Oryzias latipes: one gene and its partner. The protein of the gene in region 1 purifies or fractionates together with the protein of each later gene. This does not show direct contact. Links are inferred from orthologs where the notes say so. Each region holds a gene or a part of one and is shown on either strand. Other genes may lie near its edges.

Region 1 (9,688 bases):
CTCTGAACGCAAAGACGAAGATCCGCGGGTTAATTGAAATCATCTCCAATGCTGCTGAGTATAAAAACATTCCCATCAGGCACCACGAGGACACACTTCTTCGACAGGTAAGCAGACTCCACAGTGGGAATCCATCATCTTTCATTTTTGTTGCAGCACAAAGTCTAACCGTTTATTTGACATTAAATTGTGGATCTAATTTTACATTAAAGCTGGCACAGAAAGTTCCCCACAAGCTCAACAACCCGAAGTTCAACGATCCCCACGTGAAGACGAATTTGCTGCTGCAAGCTCATCTCTCCAGGATGCAGCTGAGCGCAGAGCTGCAGTCAGACACTGAAGAGATCCTGAGCAAGGTTCACGTTTGAAATGCTTCTCTCCTCCCTCTTCTGTGAATGTGTGTGTAAAGCTGATCCCACTGTGTGTTTGCTGCATGCAGGCGATCCGCCTCATCCAGGCCTGCGTGGACGTGCTGTCTAGTAACGGCTGGCTCAGTCCTGCGCTGGCTGCCATGGAGCTGGCCCAGATGGTCACCCAGGCTATGTGGTCCAAGGACTCCTACCTGAAACAGCTGCCCTACTTCACCTCAGAGCACATCAAGCGTTGTACTGACAAGGTGTTTCGCATCGTCTGACTGCTGCTTTTGTCTTCTGTCAAAGCTCGCACATTTAAACTGAAAAGTTAAACCTGTGTGTTTTGTCTCCAGGGTGTGGAGAGTATATTTGACATAATGGAAATGGAGGATGAAGACCGAAGCGGCTTGCTGCAGCTCACAGACGCTCAGATGGCAGACGTGGCTCGCTTCTGTAACCGTTACCCCAACATCGAGCTCGCGTATGAAGTGGTAGAAAGGGATAACATAAAGAGGTTAGTGTGCAGTCCAATCAAGAACTATTCAAAACAATGATGCATTTTTGGATCAGATTTACATCAGCACTGCCCTCTGGATAAAATTTGGTCTGTGTTTTCTTCAGTGGCAGTCCAGTTCTGGTTCAGGTTCAGCTGGAGCGTGAGGAGGAGGTGACTGGCCCTGTCGTCGCTCCCCTTTTCCCTCAGGTCAGTTGAGTGGCTGTCCACTTCCCTATAGGTGTTTCCTACATTTGCTTCATCGTTTGATCGTCTCATCGTTGCAGAAACGTGAGGAGGGCTGGTGGGTTGTGATCGGAGACCCGAAGTCGAACAGCCTGATCTCAATCAAGAGGCTGACTCTGCAACAAAAAGCGAAGGTGAGCCGCTGCTTTGAACACTCCCTAACCAAAAATACGCAAACTACCACAGTTTTCATTTTTGGTTCTTCTGTGTAGGTCAAGCTGGACTTTGTGGCACCAGCGATGGGCATTCACAACTACACGCTGTACTTCATGAGCGACGCTTACATGGGCTGTGATCAGGAGTACAAGTTCAGTGTGGACGTGAAGGAGGCAGACAGCGACAGCGATTCAGATTAAGCTGGAAATTCAAATTCTACATTTTTAATCCTTTTTTTTTTTTCAATAAATAATGGGATCAGGTTTTATATGTAGATATTTACCCCGATCAATCTCTGAGAGTGACCCTGTCAGTTCTCTGTGGGTGTTATAACATGTTTTCGTAGTCAGTACAATCGTTTTATCCTGTATGTTAAACAGCTTTTCAGAAGTTTTGTGTTCTTTACGTTGACCATTGATGTACTTTTCACAAAATTATTCAAAGATAAGTCTAAGACATCTTAAACTGCCGTTGAACAGCTGAGTCTCATCCACATTGCATGTTTAAATAGATTAGACTTTCCATTTTACTTTGGTTAAACGTCATAAGATTTTTTGGATTGGTTAAACCGTTTAATCATTCATGCTGTCTGTTTGTTTTTTGCAATAAAAACATCTGAAAATTGTTTTATAGTTTTATTATGAAACAATTAGTTCTTAGTCTGGCCCCTTTTATGCTACAAGCTCATGTCACTACAGCACTTAATGGATATTGACAAGATTGTTCTTGATCCCCTCCCTTTATCCCTATATATATCCCCACACCTGAAATGTCTGAATAAGCTTGCAAAAATGTCTTTTGGTAATGGAAATAACTGCACTGAATGAACTTGTTTTCAAGTTTGGTAGTTGGGTTTAACCCTTGTGCTATCGTAGACGACTCCCCCCCCCCTTACATTGACGTGTTCTCCCTACCATGATAAAGGTGGAAAGATTTCATGTAATTTATGGATACCAGAGAAGATTACAAATCATTGGAGAAAAAAGGTTCAGAGCACTTTCTAGTGGGTCTAGATGACCCCACTCCCAATGTTAGGATAGCACAAGGGTTAAATTAACAGTGCAAGCCAGTTGGTGAGCTTTGACTACTGATAGTGGTGTTGTGCTATCCTAGGCACTTTACCATTGGGAGTTGGGTCATCTAGACCCACTAGACAGTGCTCTGAACCTTTTTTTCTTCAATGATTTGTGATCTTCACTGGTGTCCATGGATTACATGAAATCTTTCCACCTTTATCATGGTAGGGAGAACACGTCAAAGTAAGGGTGGGGTCGTCTAAGATAGCACAAAGGTAAACCCAACTACCAAACTTGAAAACAAGTTCATTCAGTGCAGTTACTTATTTCCGTTTCCAAAATACATTTTTGCAAGCTTATTCAGACATTTCAGGTGTGGGGATATATATATATATATATTTTCCATTTTTTGGGTGTACAGTAGTTATGCACAGTCTCCGATCACTCCAAGGGTTTGAGGCTTTATTTAAATCATTTTTTTACAGAAAACCTGCTTTTTGCTATAAAGATGTATTTAGATGTAAACAGAACAGAACTAGTTTCTTGCTCCTTTTAAGTTGTAGGACTAAAAACAGTTAACCAGCACACCCATCATCACTTTTGTGAATAAAAATAGAACTTAAACTTTACATTTTACAATCATTCAGATTTATAAAGATAACTGTATAAGCATGACTTTATATAGCAAAAGAAAAGAACATTTAAGTTCAGCACAGGGTTTCATCCAATTGCTGGTGTCTCCACAGCAGGTTCAGTCTTCTTCTTGAAACCTCCAAATTGCAATGTCTCCATCATCACTGCAGGAGGCCAGGAGGCCGGCCTCCTTTGGGTTCCAGGCGACGCAGTTCACATCCTGACAGTGAGCCTTCTTCACCTGAGCAGCCAGCGAGAACACCGGCTCATCTGCATGGGCCGCGAGATCCTCCCTAAACACTCGTATGGCGTCGTCGCCACAGGCAGTTGCTAGGGCACCGGTCAGTCGACACCTACGCAACAGACAGTTGTTTGAGCCATAATAGTAAAGGGGACAAAGATTCAGCCGACTGATGACAAGCGCTGTTTTAGTGGTGGTACAGCCAAAAAAGCAAAGAAGAAAATCTGTTTTGGCAACTTTTTAAAAACTCTGTAAATAGAATCTATTTTTAAAGTAAAAAAAAAAAAATCAGACACCAGACTGTAGTGCAGGGGTGTCCAACTCATTTTGGTTCGGGGGCCACATTTAACCCGTCTGATCTCAAGTGGGCCGGACCAGTAACATAAAAGCAAAATAACAGCTTTGTTTTAGTTTTTTATTCAGTTGGAAAAAATGTCTCAATCAACATAGTAGCCTAATCACTTGGGGCCAATGGAGCTCAAATAAAATTAATTTCAATTAAAGAAAAGTTGGTCTATTCAAATTAATGCAGTCTGAATATTTTACATCTGACACTGAAGCAATCCAGAAACTTTTCTTTATGATAAGTCTCTTAGTGGTGCTGAATGTCATATTCTTTGAGCACTGCGATGTTGATGACATACAAAGCATTTGGGTTTTACATTCAGCTTCGTGAAAAAAAGAAAAAACTCTGTCCAATTTTCCTGGAAGGCTCTTCCCTCCACTTCACGTTTGACAGCATTTTGGTCATTAGGGTGTCGCTAATGATCATCCTTATAGCAAGATAACAGCGGTAAGGCTCATAGGGAACCAAGGTGCATCCTACCCAGACGCAGAGCTGTTATGTTTCGCTTTTGGCACATGCAGATATTTGCTGTTTCAACTGTTTTTCTTTTCCTTTACTCCCCCTAGTGGCGGAATTGCACATTTCTGTTATTTCTTTAAAAAATCATAATTCGCCACAGGAATGGACTAGAAACTTGCTTTCTTTTTTAATCATCCTTTTGATTTTTACTCTTCATGTGTGGGCCGGAGTAAACCACCTGGCGGGCCGGATAAGGCCCGCGGGCCGTGTGTTTGACACCCCTGCTGTAGTGTAAGTATTTAGTCTTACCAGGCAATGTCGTACACTGTTCGTCCATGATAACCCGACAGAGTGCAAACGCACTTCCATGACAAATCACCTAATAAAGCAGACCAAACAAAACATTCTGTGATTAAAAAATATCCTATTTTTTTTTATTTATGTCATAAACTACCCCTCTATCTTCTCACCACTCTCACTTGGATACTCCTTCCAAATCTTCACAGTGCGGTCATCGCTGCAAGACGCCAGCCTCTGTCCCGTCACGTCGAAACACAAACTCCAGACGGTGGACGTGTGTCCCTGCAGAGTGGCCCTGCACTCCCAGTCATCATCCTCCTCCTTGTAAATACAGATGTTGTTGTCGTAGCTGGCAGAAGCCAAGAGCTGCGGAAATAGAATAAAATACAACTTTATTGATCCCACAAACGTCGTTACCATGGCTCTATTAAAAACAGCACGTAGATCATAAATATGGCTAAAGATGCACTTTAACAATTAATAGCAACAATAATAAAACAACTACATGATGGTGAAGGACTGAGTGCAGACCTACCTCTTGCGTGGGATGCCACACAACATGCTTTACATCTTGTGTGTGCGAGTTCACCACTGTAACACACTCGTACTCATCTTCTTCGTCCACTGTGAAGAAGGAAAACAAAGGTTTACAACCCAGCTCTATATGTTTTCTGTGACAAAGGATTGTCCTGCAAGAGCTGGTGAGGACACAAACCTTCCCAAACCCAGACACTCTTGTCTCGGCTACAAGTGGCCAGCAAAGTCCCTGAAGGGGCCCACGCCACGCATTTGACCTCGTTTTCATGACCTTCCAACACAGTTAAGCTCTAGAAGACAAGAAAAGAGTCCAGGTGGAGCCAGAACACGTGTTAGATCAGAGGTTAAACGAACCTTACCTCAAAGTCGTCGTTCTTCTTTTTCCAGATGCATGTCGTCGCATCGAAGCTGGCGGAGGCCAGATAGTTCCCACAGGGAGACCAGGCTACTTTCCTCACAGTGCGCTGGTGTCCGTCCTGCAGAACGTTTTTACAAACCCAAGAGTCACCTTGAAAAGGGAAAACATGAACTGTAAAAAAGGTAAGGTCATCCAACCACTGATTTTAAATCGGCGTAGCAAAATTCGAATAGAAGGCTCTTTGTCTGTCTGAGTCTGACCTTCCTGTCCCCATATCCGGATGGCCTTATCGCCACCACACGAAGCCAGCAGCGCACCGCTCGGGCTCCAACTGACGAACCAGCACCGAGAATCTGGGTGTGCGCTGAGTTTCTGCACCAGAGAAATAGCCTCCTTCATGGCAGAGCTCCAGCAAACGTGACTCCTCTGTCTGTCAGGCGTCGACTCGACACTTTTCTCGATTTCCGTTAACCAAAGATTTAGGCTAAAAAGAGTCACAAATGAGGAAAACGACAGACAAGAGGACTGCGAGTAAATTAATACACCTTTATGAACATTAAAACAAAAGGAGGGGGAAATTAACCAAGGAAAATTGTTCACACAGATAAGTTCAAAGAAGCGTCAAATTAGGAAATGCCGCCATGTTTGCTTATCGGGATCTGGACCCGGTGCATTATGGGTTGATCTAAAATAAAACGTTTTGATGGTAATATTTCATTTATATATTTTTAAAGAAAGTGATCTACCTATATATGTATTTTTATAATATGAATCTATATTTACATTACTGTTTGCAAAGAAAATTTCATGCTAAACATTGTGTACATTTCTATTTTAGTTTCCGCTGGGGGCGGTAGTGTACAGCAAACATTCTAAACGTCACGAAGAAGAATGGCATATACAGGAAGTTAGGGATTTTGAGGAAAACAGCGTAAGCTATCTTTTGTTTTGTTTTGTGTTCCTTTTTGTATCATAGAGACGGACGGTTTTATCAGCGGGATTTGATGTTTACAGGTTATATTTTTTCCCATTCGTTCGCTAAAAAGTGTCTTTCCTCCGAGAACTGGTGACGTAAAGTGTTTATTTTTTTTAGTTAGCTTCAGAGGCTAACAACAGAGCTAAAGGCCCGCTTAGGATCTGTTCTTTGTGTTGGCTTTTCCTTAATATTTTTTGACTACTTTAGGGAAGCGGTTATTGTTGTTTTTATATTGTTGAGCACTTTTATCGCCACCGAAATCTTTGACATATCCTGGAAGACAATTGCCGTAGTTTTACTCTAATACCACAATAACCCGGTACTACTGTCAAGAGGAAGACAGTGCTAAGAGGAACCTACCACTTCAACAGAAAATTCGCCATTCGGTCAGCTATGTATGCCCCACCGGGTCCCGCTGTCTCCGGAGGTCGGAGGAGGAGAGCCGGTACCTCACTTCCCAAACAGCCGGAGCGGAGTCTAGTGTCGGCCCTGCCCGGAGCTTTGTCCATCACAGCGCTGTGCACGGCTCTGGCTGAACCTGCTTGGCTCCGGATTCACGGAGGCACCTGCCCGAGACAAGAACTCGGGGTGGCAGATGTCTTGGGATACGTTGATCCCAATCTTTTGGGTGGTAAGAACCAGCACAAAGTCGTTGCCACTCTAAGCTGAGGATCATGGAGTGCCTTAATTTATATGAATTTGTGGCACGTCTGTCTTTTCAGATTACTGTGTGAATCCGCAGACCATCCTGCTGCTAAGGGTAATAGCTGCCTTCTGTTTCCTTGGCATCCTGTGCAGTCTAACTGCGTTCCTCCTGGATGTGTTTGGACCCAAACACCCTGCCCTAAAGATAACTCGCAGATATGCTTTTGCACATATACTAACAGGTATCTACAGTGCTTGTTTTCATTTCTAATAAAGATCAAACACATTGCTACAATGTAACTGGTTTCTTTGTCTTTCCAGTGTTGCAGTGTGCCACAGTCATAGGCTTTTGCTACTGGGCATCGGAACTGATCTTGTCACTGCAGCAGCAACACAAAAAGTACCATGGCTCTCTCATTTACGTCACCTTTGCCATCAGCTTCTACCTGGTGGCAGGTGCTGGTGGAGCCTCCATTCTAGCCACTGCTGCAAACCTCCTGCGCCATTATCCCACCGAGGAGGAAGAGCAGGCCTTGGAGCTGCTCTCAGAAATGGAGGACAGCAGCGAGACTTTCCCTGCTGACTATGACATTGCCAACCAGTTTCAGCCACCTCCTGCCTACACACCATAATGCCAGCAAAAAGCGGCGACATGGCCTTGGGTTGTCTTTCCTCTCTGCACAGCTGTTTGCTTGACCCGCAAACCACATTCTTTATCAAATGAATATCTCTGCAAATATTCTTGGCAACGAAAACAGTTTGTGTACCTTTAGTGCACAGATTCATTCAATGAAAGTGCTGAGGTGCATGAACGCTTTTATTTGGTGGTGATAGACATTTAGAAGGGAATTCTTCATTTCAACATGGGGTTGGTTAAATATCTGCATTTAAATGACTTGCAGAATTTAGTCTTTACATGTAAAATTAAAAAAAAAAGCAATGAGTGCAAACCAGTACTCCCTAAGATTTTGATGATGCAGCCAAAGCCACACTGGCTCTTAGCAGATTGTTGATGTAATTGGAGAAAGATGGAGCTTTGCTAAGCAGCATTTAGATTTCATTTGATGTGCTTGTCATATGTATGATTTATTTTTAGATGCACCATAGATGCAAATTCATCTGTACACTGACGAGATTGTTTTAAATTTTTATTTTTATGAAAATTGACCCTATTTATTGCACATACTTTTCTTTTTGTCTTTGATTGTTCTTTTGCTTTGTAGACATTTGTCTATGGTTATATTCTGTGTCTTTTATTCTGTGCTTTTTGGTGGGGGGGTGAGATTTTGGGCGTTTAAGGAAAAAAAAACAGCCCGGGTGGGTGTTTTTGTTGTAAGGTGGGGGCGTAAAGAAAGGGAGATGCCCAAGAAAAGTGTTTGCAGGATGAGTATGTAAGGTTATTTTGTTTTTTATTTTTTGTCTTTGAATTGTTCTTATTTGTATTTTGTGACTGTGTGTTGGATCCATCATGTTGTACCCATGCATGAGTTCTTTAGTGTGCAATTTTTACGTTTCAGCCCAAATCTTCTCACTTAGTTCAGACTTGGAATTGTGGCTAATGTGTTTCGAGTTGGTTTTACAACATTTTTCCACTATTAATCTTTGCTATACTGTCAGCAGTATGTACATATTGATTGCTTACATCAACTGATTCTAATAAAGTCAAAGTCATATTTTGCGTCCTGCTGGTTTACATCCCACTGAGGCGTCCAGGAGTTTAACCAAATGTCAGCCTTCCACTAACTAACTGAAGCCTTTAAATTTGATCTGTCTTTTCCATCTGCCAAGGATATTTCTGGGTTCACCGTCTAGACGCTACATGGCATTACTAGAGAGTAAGAGCCTTACAATCTAATGGACTTTAAAGGGCATATGGAATGTCACTCAGCTGCTTTAAACATTGAACACAATTTCTCCACCAGCAAATCCCATGAAGATCAAAGGCAAACAAAGATATTGATTGGATTTGTCAGGAGGCGTCCCTCTGTGGTTAAATAAGTTGATTAGGGGAGCGGTGAAGGCGGTAATGGCGTAGGTAAGGGAGTTCAGTGGGGAAACAAGTGCAGGTGTGATAAGACAATGGTCTTACGTGGCCACGTCACTTTGGCTGCACTATGGAGGTATATATACAGGCCGCTTCACTCGGATCAATATCAGGACTATCAGAGGTCGTGGAAAGCTCTGTGAGAAACTCCAACGTTTCATTTCTCCTCTCAAAGCCGTGAGACCAAAGCAGAACCATGTTGGGAACCAGGGCTTTGCTTTCTAAACAAACACTGGCTGTTTTTTTCCGCCAGCCTGCCTGCTTTGTTCACCAGGGTGACTATGGCAACTGGGGAAACACCAATGTCGCTGTGGTAGGTTAAGCAGAACTTTGTGAGATCAGTAATGAGATCATGGCACACATTGCTGGAATTTCTCCTTATACTCTAGGTTTTCTCTGGATGCGGATGGTGGGATGGAACTGACGTCCATGAGGGCGTGTAGTGAGTATGAGAAGATCAGGAAAGTTTTGTACACCAGTGAATGACCATAACTGGAAACACTTGTGTTTAGCACCATGTACCACCTGAGCAGAAATGGCGCTCGCTTCCAGATTTTTGCCCCAAATCAACAGCAGATGAACGTGATGGACCACATGAAAAAGCAACCAGCTTCTGGGGAGAACAGGTTGGAGCCACTCATTTGACACGCTTAAGAAGAGCTCTGTTCTTCCCTAATGTCATAGTTTTGATATTCAACTTGACTGGAACTACTTTTGGTCATGTTTGACTGATAAACAGGAACATGATGATTGAGTCAGCGCGCTTCAGCCACGGGCAGGGAAAGATGCAAATGCAGGACCTGTCTTCCCTGGATGCCAGCAGCTTTGATGCCGTCATCTTCCCTGGAGGCTACGGCATCACTAAGAATCTGTGAGGAACATAAC
Region 2 (9,750 bases), on another chromosome or scaffold:
ATCAGTTTGAATTGAAGACAGTCAAAGGCTCACACGCCGAGCAGAAACTGACATTTAGTGGCTGGAGATATGAACCTTCGATAGCACTTTTTCACTGGATAGTGAGGCGGCTGCTGCATGTTTTTGTTTTTTTGTTTTAATTTTTTATTGTTGTCAGGGGATACACTCTTCATCGGTGGATGTGGGCAGTTTTTTGAGGGTACAGCAGAACAGATGCACTACAACCTTACGCAGGTGCTGGGCTCCCTACCTCAAGACACGGTTAGTTGTCCTGCAGTTAAAAAAAAAAAATATATATATATATATATATATATATATATATAAAAACTCAAAATTATGCTAAAACTGTTAATTGGTTAAATCAAATTTTTTTTTATTGTGATATGTTTTTCAGAAGGTGTTCTGCGGACATGAGTACACCATCAAGAACTTGAAGTTTGCTATGCTGGTGGAACCAGAGAATGAAAAGGTTAAAGAGATGTTGAGTTGGGCCAGGGTGAGCAACACACACCTTCAACTTTTCCACACTGTCCAAAACATTTGTTTTGACATCATCCTTCAGACTGAATGAATGTGTTCAGGGGAGGAACTCCATGGTTTAAAAATGGCTAAATATGAAATTTGCTTCTCCCATGATATTCTGTATGGCTAAATATCCCTAGATTGACAAAGAAAGAGTTTTAAAACATTTTGTGGAATTTAAAATACATCTGTCCATTTCACAAAAATAGAACTGCTAGGCAGTTTTTTTACTAAGGATAAAAAAAGAGGGGGGGAGTGCAAAAATAGGCTTTTATTTTTGAAGATTTTTGAAACCGGATTTCATTGGAAAACTAAAAAGAATATGTGTTTTGGTAAAAAGTGAAAAAAGCTGACGAGGTTTTGGTACCTTTGAGGTGGGGTTTATATATACCATAATTTATTCATACAAAAAGTGTATGTAGGAAAACAAATTTTTAAACTTTTTCAGTCTTTGTAGTGCAAACATTTTTTTTGACGTAAAATAACTATTAGAATAATCAGTAAAAAAAAGTCTATAATTAAAAACTGATTTTAATTCATGCTTATTTATTTATGGTTTATATTCTTTCTTTTGGTTATTTTAAGCACTGTGTAGTGTCAGTAATGTGTTTTGTTTTTAAATTAGACCAGACTTGACTCTTAAATTTTTGGCTTTATCTCTGAAACACATGAAAATAATAGCATGTTCCAACATTTAACACAAATTCAAGTCTTCTACCCCACAAATAAAATAAGTTTTTTTTGTGCATATAAGTATTTGACCGTTCTAACAGTTTTTTGTCCTCCAGGCACGAGATGATGACGACAAACCCACAGTGCCTTCCACCCTGGTGGAGGAGTTCGAGTACAACCCCTTTCTTCGGCTCTCGTGAGTTTGGATCCTCGTAAACTCCACGTACAGCCAATGACCGTAAGGAAACTCTACATTCAGCTTTTTTTGTTCATTCTTTTCTCAAAAGGGTAGAGGCGGTGCAAAAATTCACTGGAAAGACAGAGCCTGTGGAGGTTTTGAGGGCCCTTCGGAAGGAGAGGGACAAGTTTAAAAAACCCAAGGACAGACTTCCGCCTCATGCCCTGTTCGCTCTGCAGTGGGGACTGCTTCGGCCTCGTGATCCAGTTTCTTAGCTTTAACTTTCGGGTACAATCCACCATCAAGAGGACCTACTTAATGCAGGAAGACACTGAAGTGTATCGTAGAGAATGATGCCCAACCCAAGAACTTATGGTATGAGGTTCACCAGCTACCAATCCTGGTTGTATAGATGAACTATGATGTGGCTGCTTTGGTTAACCCTTGTGCTATCCTAGGCACTTTAACATTGGGAGTTGGGTCATCTAGACCCACTAGACAGTGCTCTGAACCTTTTTTCTTCAATGATTTGTGATCTTCACTGGTGTCCATGGATAACATGAAATCTTTCCACCTTAATCCACCTTTGTCATGGTAGGGAGAACACGTCAATGTAAGGGTGGGGTCACCTAAGATAGCACAAGGGTTTTAAAGGCCCATTCAAGGCTGTTTTCCTTTGAGAGCCAAAAAACTCTTTTTGTGCCGCCCAGCTGTCTGCACCAACTCCATAAAACTGTTAACGTTTTAAAGCAAAAATCTCTGCACATCAGTTTTCTGATGCCAAATGACGTAATTTTTTTTTTACTTTAAGTCTTAAGCAATGCACATTTAAAAGGAGATAAGGCACTTATACTGAAATATCTAATTTAAAAATGACCTGTTATGTATAAATGGTTTGCAGCAGGTAATGTTAAAATGAAAAAAGTAACATTAAAATTGGTTTCAGATCAAATGTTTATTATTGAAGTATTTCTTTTCTTCTTGATAGGGTAAATATTTTACAGCCAATCTGTTTTGTTTCCATTTTCTTTTTAACCCTTGTTATCCTAGGCACTTTAATATTGGGAGTTGGGTCATCTAGACCCACTAGACAGTGCTCTGAACCTTTTTCCTTTCAATGATTTGGGATCTTCACTGGTGTCCATGGATTACATGAAATCTTTCCACCTTTATCATGGTAGGAAGAACACGTCAATGTAAGGGTGGGGTCATCTAAGATAGCACAAGGGCTAAGTTGGTTGAACTAGATCATTAAAAATTCAATTTCTTCAAGAATGTTGTTAGAATTTAAGTGTAATATGTTTTTCTTGTTGTTGTTTTATGTACAGAGTTTCTACTTTATTTGAACTTTTACCAACAGGGTAAAGAAGAAAACTGTTTGTTGTCATTGCAACTTCTGCTGCTTTCTAATACAAAACTAACTGTTCATTAAAAATTTCTATTAAAAAAAGCACATCAGTTAATAACTAGCTTTTGTGGTCATTTTATTTCTGCAAAAGCATATGTACATATAACTATTAAATAAAAGAGTAATAATTATCTTTTTTAAAGCATTGTTTTTATACTTTGAACAACCAAAAAAAGACATTTGGGTCATCTTGAGGCACAGGGATCATCAGCTGGGACTCTCAGCGGTATACTGCTGACTCATCACCACTTAATGGTGAGTCCGTTGGTCATCTTCTCTACAGCGTGGTATTGTGTGCGCAGCAGCTCTCTGGCTCTGTCTTCTCCCACGCCATGGAGCCATGTTTGGTAAATCTCTGCCACGCGAGTGTCATCCTCTGGCAGTAGGGGGCGCTCTTCCTTGTACAGCTCCTCAACTTTTTGAAGCAGCTCTTTCTGGTTCTGACCAGCGGCTGCCTTTATCTGTCCGCCTCCGTTAAGGCAGCCTGGGAGAATAAAAAGAAGGATAAAAGTATCGTATCTGCATCAAAGTTAGAATTTTTTTTTTTTAATCTATTCCAACTATAAAAAAATCATACCTGATGGACAGGCCATAACTTCTACAAAATGGTACAGGGATTTTCCCCTTTTCAGTTTCTGCACAAGGTTCTGAATGTTGCGAAATCCGTATGTTGCAGCAAAGCACAGCAGAACTTCCCCATCTTTCTCCAGTCTCACCTCCTGGAAGTCTTTGTTCCTGGGCCATCGAACAAGAGTGAAGATGAGAAAAGCAACTTTTTGTTTTTTTTGTAAAAAGACACAATTTATATAGGTGAGCAAACCTTAGAGTTTTGTAGGTGAGCTCCTTTACTTCTTCTCCAAAGAGCTGCTTAGCAGCATAGGTGAAGACGTGATGGAGGTAACCTCCGGATCCACTGCCAGCGTGGCTCAGGAGCTCATCCCCACAGACGCTGCTGAACCTGAGGGTAAAAATAGGCAGCATCAGAAGAGTTTTGAGAGATAAAGTTTTCTTAAAAAAAGAGGGAACTTACATCGAATCAAGAGTTCCAGGCTCAACATCATTCAGAGAAATATGATGTTCCTCCAGCATTTTCTGAACCTCTCCTGAAGAGAGGACAGACAAATAACCATGTGGATGCTGCATATGCACCTAAGTATTACTTATAAGGGTAATTACTGTACCAGACGTTATGACACAATCCACTTCTCTGGTCTCCGCTTTGTTCATAAAAAAATCTGAGCGTGACGCTTCGAGTTTCTTGTCGAAGCAGGGCATCACAGCCACATGGTAAATCTGCTGAGGACTCAGCCCCTAACAGCACAAACAGATCCAGCTCAGTTAGTCTTTATTGAAATATTTACAGAACGGAGAAATCCAAACCCCACCTGCTTTTCTGCAAAGTGGCTTTTAACCAGAGACCCCATCATCTGCTGGGGGGAGCGGGTGGTGCTGATATATGGGAGAATATACTCCCCGTGTGTCTTCTCTGCATAGCAGATCCAACCTGAACACACATAAACGCACACTTTGGTCTGAATGGAGTTCAAAGCGTTTGATGCACCAACTATTTCATTCCTAACCAAAGCCTATAGAAAAGTTGTGCTAATTGTCTTTTTTTAGTTTTAATGAGAGCTGCTGTCACAGCTTCAGTCATGAACTGGACGGTCAAACATCGCAAAGTCAAATGTGAGTCAATCCCAAACACCCTAGCAAATCATTAACAGCATGGTGGGGTGGGGGGTGGGGGGGGTTGAGCTGCTACAACAGCTCAGCAAAAGTCCTGACCTCAACCTTTCAGAGACGTTTTCAGAGAAAAGAAGAGCGTAAACTGATACCCTTAAAAAACGTCAAGGACCTGAAACAAAGTGGTGATACTGAGATTCCGATTGAAAACTCTGTCTAAGCTTTTGGAGCTAAAGATAATGTCATGAACATTCACTATTAGGCTTTGATAAATATATAAAATACGAAATAGAAGGCCTTCAAAAACAAAATAAATACACAAATGTGGTTTCCGTTCCACATTCAAATCAAGCTAAAAGCTTTCAAAGAAGTTGTGAAGTTTTGGCTTCTATTTTCTATCATGGAGCTCTATGTCCGTACCTGGACAGGCGGAGGTTAACATGGGCAGAGCCTTGTTGTCCTGTCCCTTCCTCTGGAAACGTTCCACAAACTCTCTCTGACTTTCCAGCAGACTGAAGGTCCGACTAAAGCTGGTGTCAAACACATAGTGAACCCCTGTAAAAAAAAGCGACCATCTTTCAGACACGTACACAGCCACTGCTTCAACTTGATTTATGAAACATTAAAAGAGGGAAACGTTACCCAGGTTTTTGAGGAAAGAGGTGAGCCTCCTTCCTGCCTCACTGCTGCTGATACCAAAGTGTGCAGCGAGGGACGCTCTGGACTGCGGGGACACGGACACCACCACAGTCTTCTGCTCTGCTGCACCCTGTGGGGGAACGAAGACTTAAGCGGAACACAAACCCAACCATAAGTAGACAAACTGAGCAAAACACTCTACCTTGTTGTTCCGAAGCACTTTTAAAAGCTCCTCGGGGCTCTGCTGAGTGATGAGGACACTCTCAGCTGAGGTGATGCAACCGCTGCACGCCAAGCAGTCGTTCAGTGAGATCTTTGCTTTTTCCAGCTTCTCCTTCCCGCCATCCTTTCAACACAAGACACTTCCATGAGCATGATACTAAATTATTGCATTTGGTACTCTGACAGTCTGCTCTATGAAGTCCATTCATGATTCAAATACCTCAGACTAAAAGGCAAAAATAAGTGTGAATCCTCACCTGGTTGACTTGGACATAACTACCATCATCCTCTATCTGTATTCTGGCCACAGATTTGCCTTGTTTCTTCTCGACTTTTATTGGTTTGACACATTCCTAACGAAAAACACAGATATGAAAAAAACAAAAAGGTAAACAACCGTTGAACCTGATACGTAGTTTCTGTCAACATGCAAAAATGGGATGGGAGAACTGTAAGCAAATTTACACCACAAAAGTCAGAATGATCAGAGAGCTTAGATTTGATCACATTGAATTAGTAATAGTTTATCATTGACCAAATGTAGGTGGAGAAAACAAGGCCTTTAAGTGTTATTTTCGTCTTGAGAAGTCATAAGTTTGGAGGGGATACAGGGGCATCATTCAAGCATCTGGGGTTACAGGAGCTCAAAACAAAAGTCAGTGGCAACAGGATGAATGACGAATACATGAAGTAAAGACATGTTTTATCCATGTGTTTTGACTTTTGTCTGTTTGAAAGTCCGATCAATACTGCAACTTCTTTCCATGTTTTGACATCTGTGTTACCATTAGCAAAACAAAAGCTAACCGATTCGTTATTTTTGCTGCCAATGAATTGTAATTTTAGACGAAAGTAATATATGTAAAAACTAGAAACGAACACTACATGTTTACTAACGTAAAGGCTAACTAGAATCTGTTTGTTTTGGTTTCTTCTTCCAGGAACAGCACTTACAAGAGCAACTACCACCACCAGAGCATGCTAGCTTAGCTCCCTAAGAGCGAACTGAGCTTTTAGCATTTTGATTGGGAAATAAGCGAAACTCCTCTGCTTGTAATGTCCTTCTAGAATAAACTTAAGTATTATTTTTGACACTGACCTGGGAAGGGGTGATAAAATCGTCCAGATCTGTCAGTTGCAGTACACCGCTGAAGACAGAGGCCATAGTTACTGCCGCAAACCCGTTGTTTACTCTTGTGTCGTGAAATGCTGGTCTGGAAGAGCACGTTCAGGCTCCACTAATAGTAATAGTTTGCCCCATTCTCTCATACAGTCAATGGGTTTGCCATGCATGTTCTGTATGTGCAACATTTGTCAACTAAGATAAAATAAGTAAATACATTTTTTTTACCACAGTATCTGGTAAATACTTGGGTTGTTTTATGTTGTATCTATTCAAATCGTATTCACAAATCACAAAGGCTTTTTTGTGTAATTTAATTTGCAGATTTGCAAATGGATTATATCTTTGTAATTTGTCAAAAGATTTTTTCTATTAGTTAGAACAACTTTTAACTTGATTGTGCTAATTGTTTGTATTTGCACAGTTTCTTCTGTAGATGTAATATTTTTTTTTTTAAAGTTTGCATTTTATTAGTTATATGTCAAGTGGAACACACAAAAGAACCTGTATTAGAATATGTTGGTCACTTAATTAGGGACAAAATATAAATACAACAAAGGAATTTTGGTCAGATTGTAACAACCTATACTGAACAATCTAGTACAACTTTAGGGGAAAGTCTGAATAAAACAACATTGCTTCATTCAGTTTGCTTTTTGTGAAGTGCCTTGAGAGAATCTTGACAAAAAGATGTCAGATGCTCATCCTAAAATATATCATACAGTAATTTGAAGAGTCTTAAATAATTCAAGAGTAATTTTAAAAATGGAATGTTTTTTAAATAGAAAATCTTTGTGGTTTACACTAAGAGGTGACATTTTATTCGTGATGATGGTTGTGTGTTTGACATACTGCATCTCTATGTAGTAAAATGTGCATTGTCAATATAAATGCCAATATTTTTACTATCGCTATTGGAACATTTATAGAGTAATATTTTTTCAAAAATACAAATGAAATATAAGTAAAAATCCAAATATAAATGACGACAGCTTTAACGATTTTATCACGTTTTCTTTCAACAAAAAAATAATAAAAAATAAATAATAATAATAATAACAAATGTATCGTTTTTTGAATGCCTTTTTATTTTTGTGGTTAAATGTTTCGTTTATTATTTTATCTTCTGCATGCGAGTGCATGCGCTCTTTTGTTGTTATGACTACAGGGTCGTAAATCCGCCATGTTTTCCCTCCCCAGCACAGCGTTGCGACAGAGACGGAGAAGTCAAACGACATGAATGCAGAAAATAATCATACGGCAGAAACAGAGAAGGAGCGAACGACGAACGGCAGTGAGACTATCACCATTCAAACCACCCTTGGAGATGAAGGTTAGTTTTCAGCCAGTTCAAAACACTCCCAAAATCAGGGTTTTTTGTCCGTAGTTTGGGCCTTGCTAACTTCCTCCATCGCGAAATTGTTGCTAATTCGTCTTTAGCAACATCTAGTTTACGGCTTTGCTGCAGGTTTGAGTTGTCAGCGGCCTTTTTAAAAGATGCCCAGATAAGCAGGTGATAGCTTTTTGGTGCTAGATAGTTTTTTAAGCTAATGGTAGCTAAATATGCTTCGTCTTTGTGTTTTTAGACGATGTACACAAGTGTGGACGCTGTCAATCCGAATTTTCCACGCTTGAAGCATTTATCCAGCACAAGTTACATAACGACTGTAAACGGGTGGAGACTGACCACACTGCTAATCAAGAGGTATGTGCTAAATCTGGAACTATGTTTAAAGTATTGATGAATCAACTTGAGTCTATAATCTTCACTCAGAAAATGTTGAAATGATTGAGAAATTCCTGAATCGATATTCTTATGTTTACATTCCATCCCTTTCTTTTGGAAGGACAAATAAGAAAAAAATCTGTAAGCCATTTATCTGAATTGTTTATAGAATTGTAAACTGATAAATCCAAATTGAACAATTAAATTTCTGATAGTCAGTCAGTATTATGTTTTTCATTGGGGGTGTAACATTTAATTCATTAATTGATTTCTAATTCTACGATCCAACCAGATCAATCTAGTATCTGAGGCCATTTGTTGATCAAATCGACCTATACCTATATGTATATATGTATATATGATCTGTTTATTTCATTTAGAAATTATAGAATAATTTCTAAATGAAATAAACAGATCATAATCGACATTGGAAAATACCATTTGGTCGTAATGGCAGCAAAAAAATGATTAAGCCATCATTCAGTCTAATGTGTGGAAATACTTAAATTTGCGAAGACATACACCCATACAGTGTGTTCTAATCCCTCTGTATCATTTCAATGCAGAAAAACAACAATGGAAAGAACTTTATAAAACTAAAATGTGAATGGATTTGCCAGTAATACTTGTTTAATTGTTTTTTTGTACACATATGTAATTTACCTTTAATTATCTTAGAAGAAATACGAAGAATCTGGAAAACTTCTGCACTGTTCAGTGCCCAGGTATTTATTTTTGTGTCATTGGTTCTATTTTTGGCTAAAGACGTCCTGGATCAGTCTTAGGTCAGTGAATGGGATTGTTAAAAATTAGCCAATATTGACTATGAATCGTATCAGCAACCACATATAATGATATGAATCTTTGTTTAAATGAATCGTTACACCCTTATTTTCCATTCTAATTAGTATTTTTACAGAGTTGGAAAACATTTTTCTCTCCCAGGTCATTACATCCAATGGAAGTTGTGCCTCAGAGGTGAAATCCGCCGATGGTTTATCTTCAGATAAAGCATTAAAACCCGATGGTAAGTCAGCAAAACTAGTTTGGATTCTTACTCATTTTATTCACTTTAATCATGTGTAACATATTAAAATCCCTTCAAAAAATACTTAAAATTAGGGCTGCACGATATGAGGAAAAAATGCGATTTGCACTATTAATGATGCGATGACAATTTAACTTGCGATACATGAAATAAATAGCAACAACAATAACTAATAAATACATCATTTCCATTTCATTGCAACAGTTTAATTTAAATAAGAGTCACCTTAACTTAAATTACACTCTAAATGACACTAAACTACATAGGATTCAATTCAATTCAATTTTATTTGTGTAGCCCAAAATCACAACAACAGTCGTCTCGATGGGCTTCGAAGTAAAACATGAACTCAAAAGGATCATGAATACAAAGAGTTCAATAGTAAAATGAACTAACAAACTGACTAAGCTATACTGGCATCCCTGCCCTTAGACCCCCCTTCGCGGTAAGGAAAAACTCCCAAAAAAACCGGATTCCGGAAAAACAAAGAAACCTCAGGGCTGCCCACATGAAGGAGGGATCCTCCCCC

Evidence for each region.
Region 2: the proteins of ciao1 (region 1) and narfl purify together in Homo sapiens (affinity purification with western blotting; 3 studies listed by BioGRID and IntAct, with this or other methods). This does not show direct contact. The link is inferred for Oryzias latipes from reciprocal best matches to the Homo sapiens genes CIAO1 and CIAO3.

The regions. Positions count from the first base shown.
Region 1 is NC_019867.2:18,358,858-18,368,545, reverse strand, and holds ciao1 (probable cytosolic iron-sulfur protein assembly protein CIAO1), read right to left. Parts: upstream 5,814-9,688; 5' UTR 5,538-5,813; coding exon 5,399-5,537; intron 5,289-5,398; coding exon 5,140-5,288; intron 5,071-5,139; coding exon 4,959-5,070; intron 4,868-4,958; coding exon 4,779-4,867; intron 4,610-4,778; coding exon 4,414-4,609; intron 4,323-4,413; coding exon 4,253-4,322; intron 3,251-4,252; coding exon 3,016-3,250; 3' UTR 2,706-3,015; downstream 1-2,705. Other genes in the region: snrnp200 (U5 small nuclear ribonucleoprotein 200 kDa helicase), read left to right, coding at 1-107, 213-356, 440-616, 707-867, 975-1,056, 1,134-1,226, 1,305-1,448; tmem127 (transmembrane protein 127), read left to right, coding at 6,508-6,745, 6,837-7,001, 7,081-7,391; ES1 protein, mitochondrial-like, read left to right, coding at 9,000-9,116, 9,193-9,245, 9,316-9,429, 9,543-9,674. UniProt on the Homo sapiens protein: Key component of the cytosolic iron-sulfur protein assembly (CIA) complex, a multiprotein complex that mediates the incorporation of iron-sulfur cluster into extramitochondrial Fe/S proteins.
Region 2 is NC_019866.2:12,255,609-12,265,358, reverse strand, and holds narfl (cytosolic Fe-S cluster assembly factor NARFL), read right to left. Parts: upstream 6,548-9,750; 5' UTR 6,490-6,547; coding exon 6,424-6,489; intron 5,678-6,423; coding exon 5,582-5,677; intron 5,449-5,581; coding exon 5,305-5,448; intron 5,233-5,304; coding exon 5,106-5,232; intron 5,019-5,105; coding exon 4,884-5,018; intron 4,285-4,883; coding exon 4,166-4,284; intron 4,092-4,165; coding exon 3,962-4,091; intron 3,884-3,961; coding exon 3,811-3,883; intron 3,739-3,810; coding exon 3,601-3,738; intron 3,516-3,600; coding exon 3,358-3,515; intron 3,265-3,357; coding exon 3,023-3,264; 3' UTR 2,835-3,022; downstream 1-2,834. Other genes in the region: hydroxyacylglutathione hydrolase-like protein, read left to right, coding at 158-261, 395-496, 1,311-1,390, 1,482-1,647; transcription factor E4F1, read left to right, coding at 7,684-7,780, 8,034-8,152, 9,119-9,200.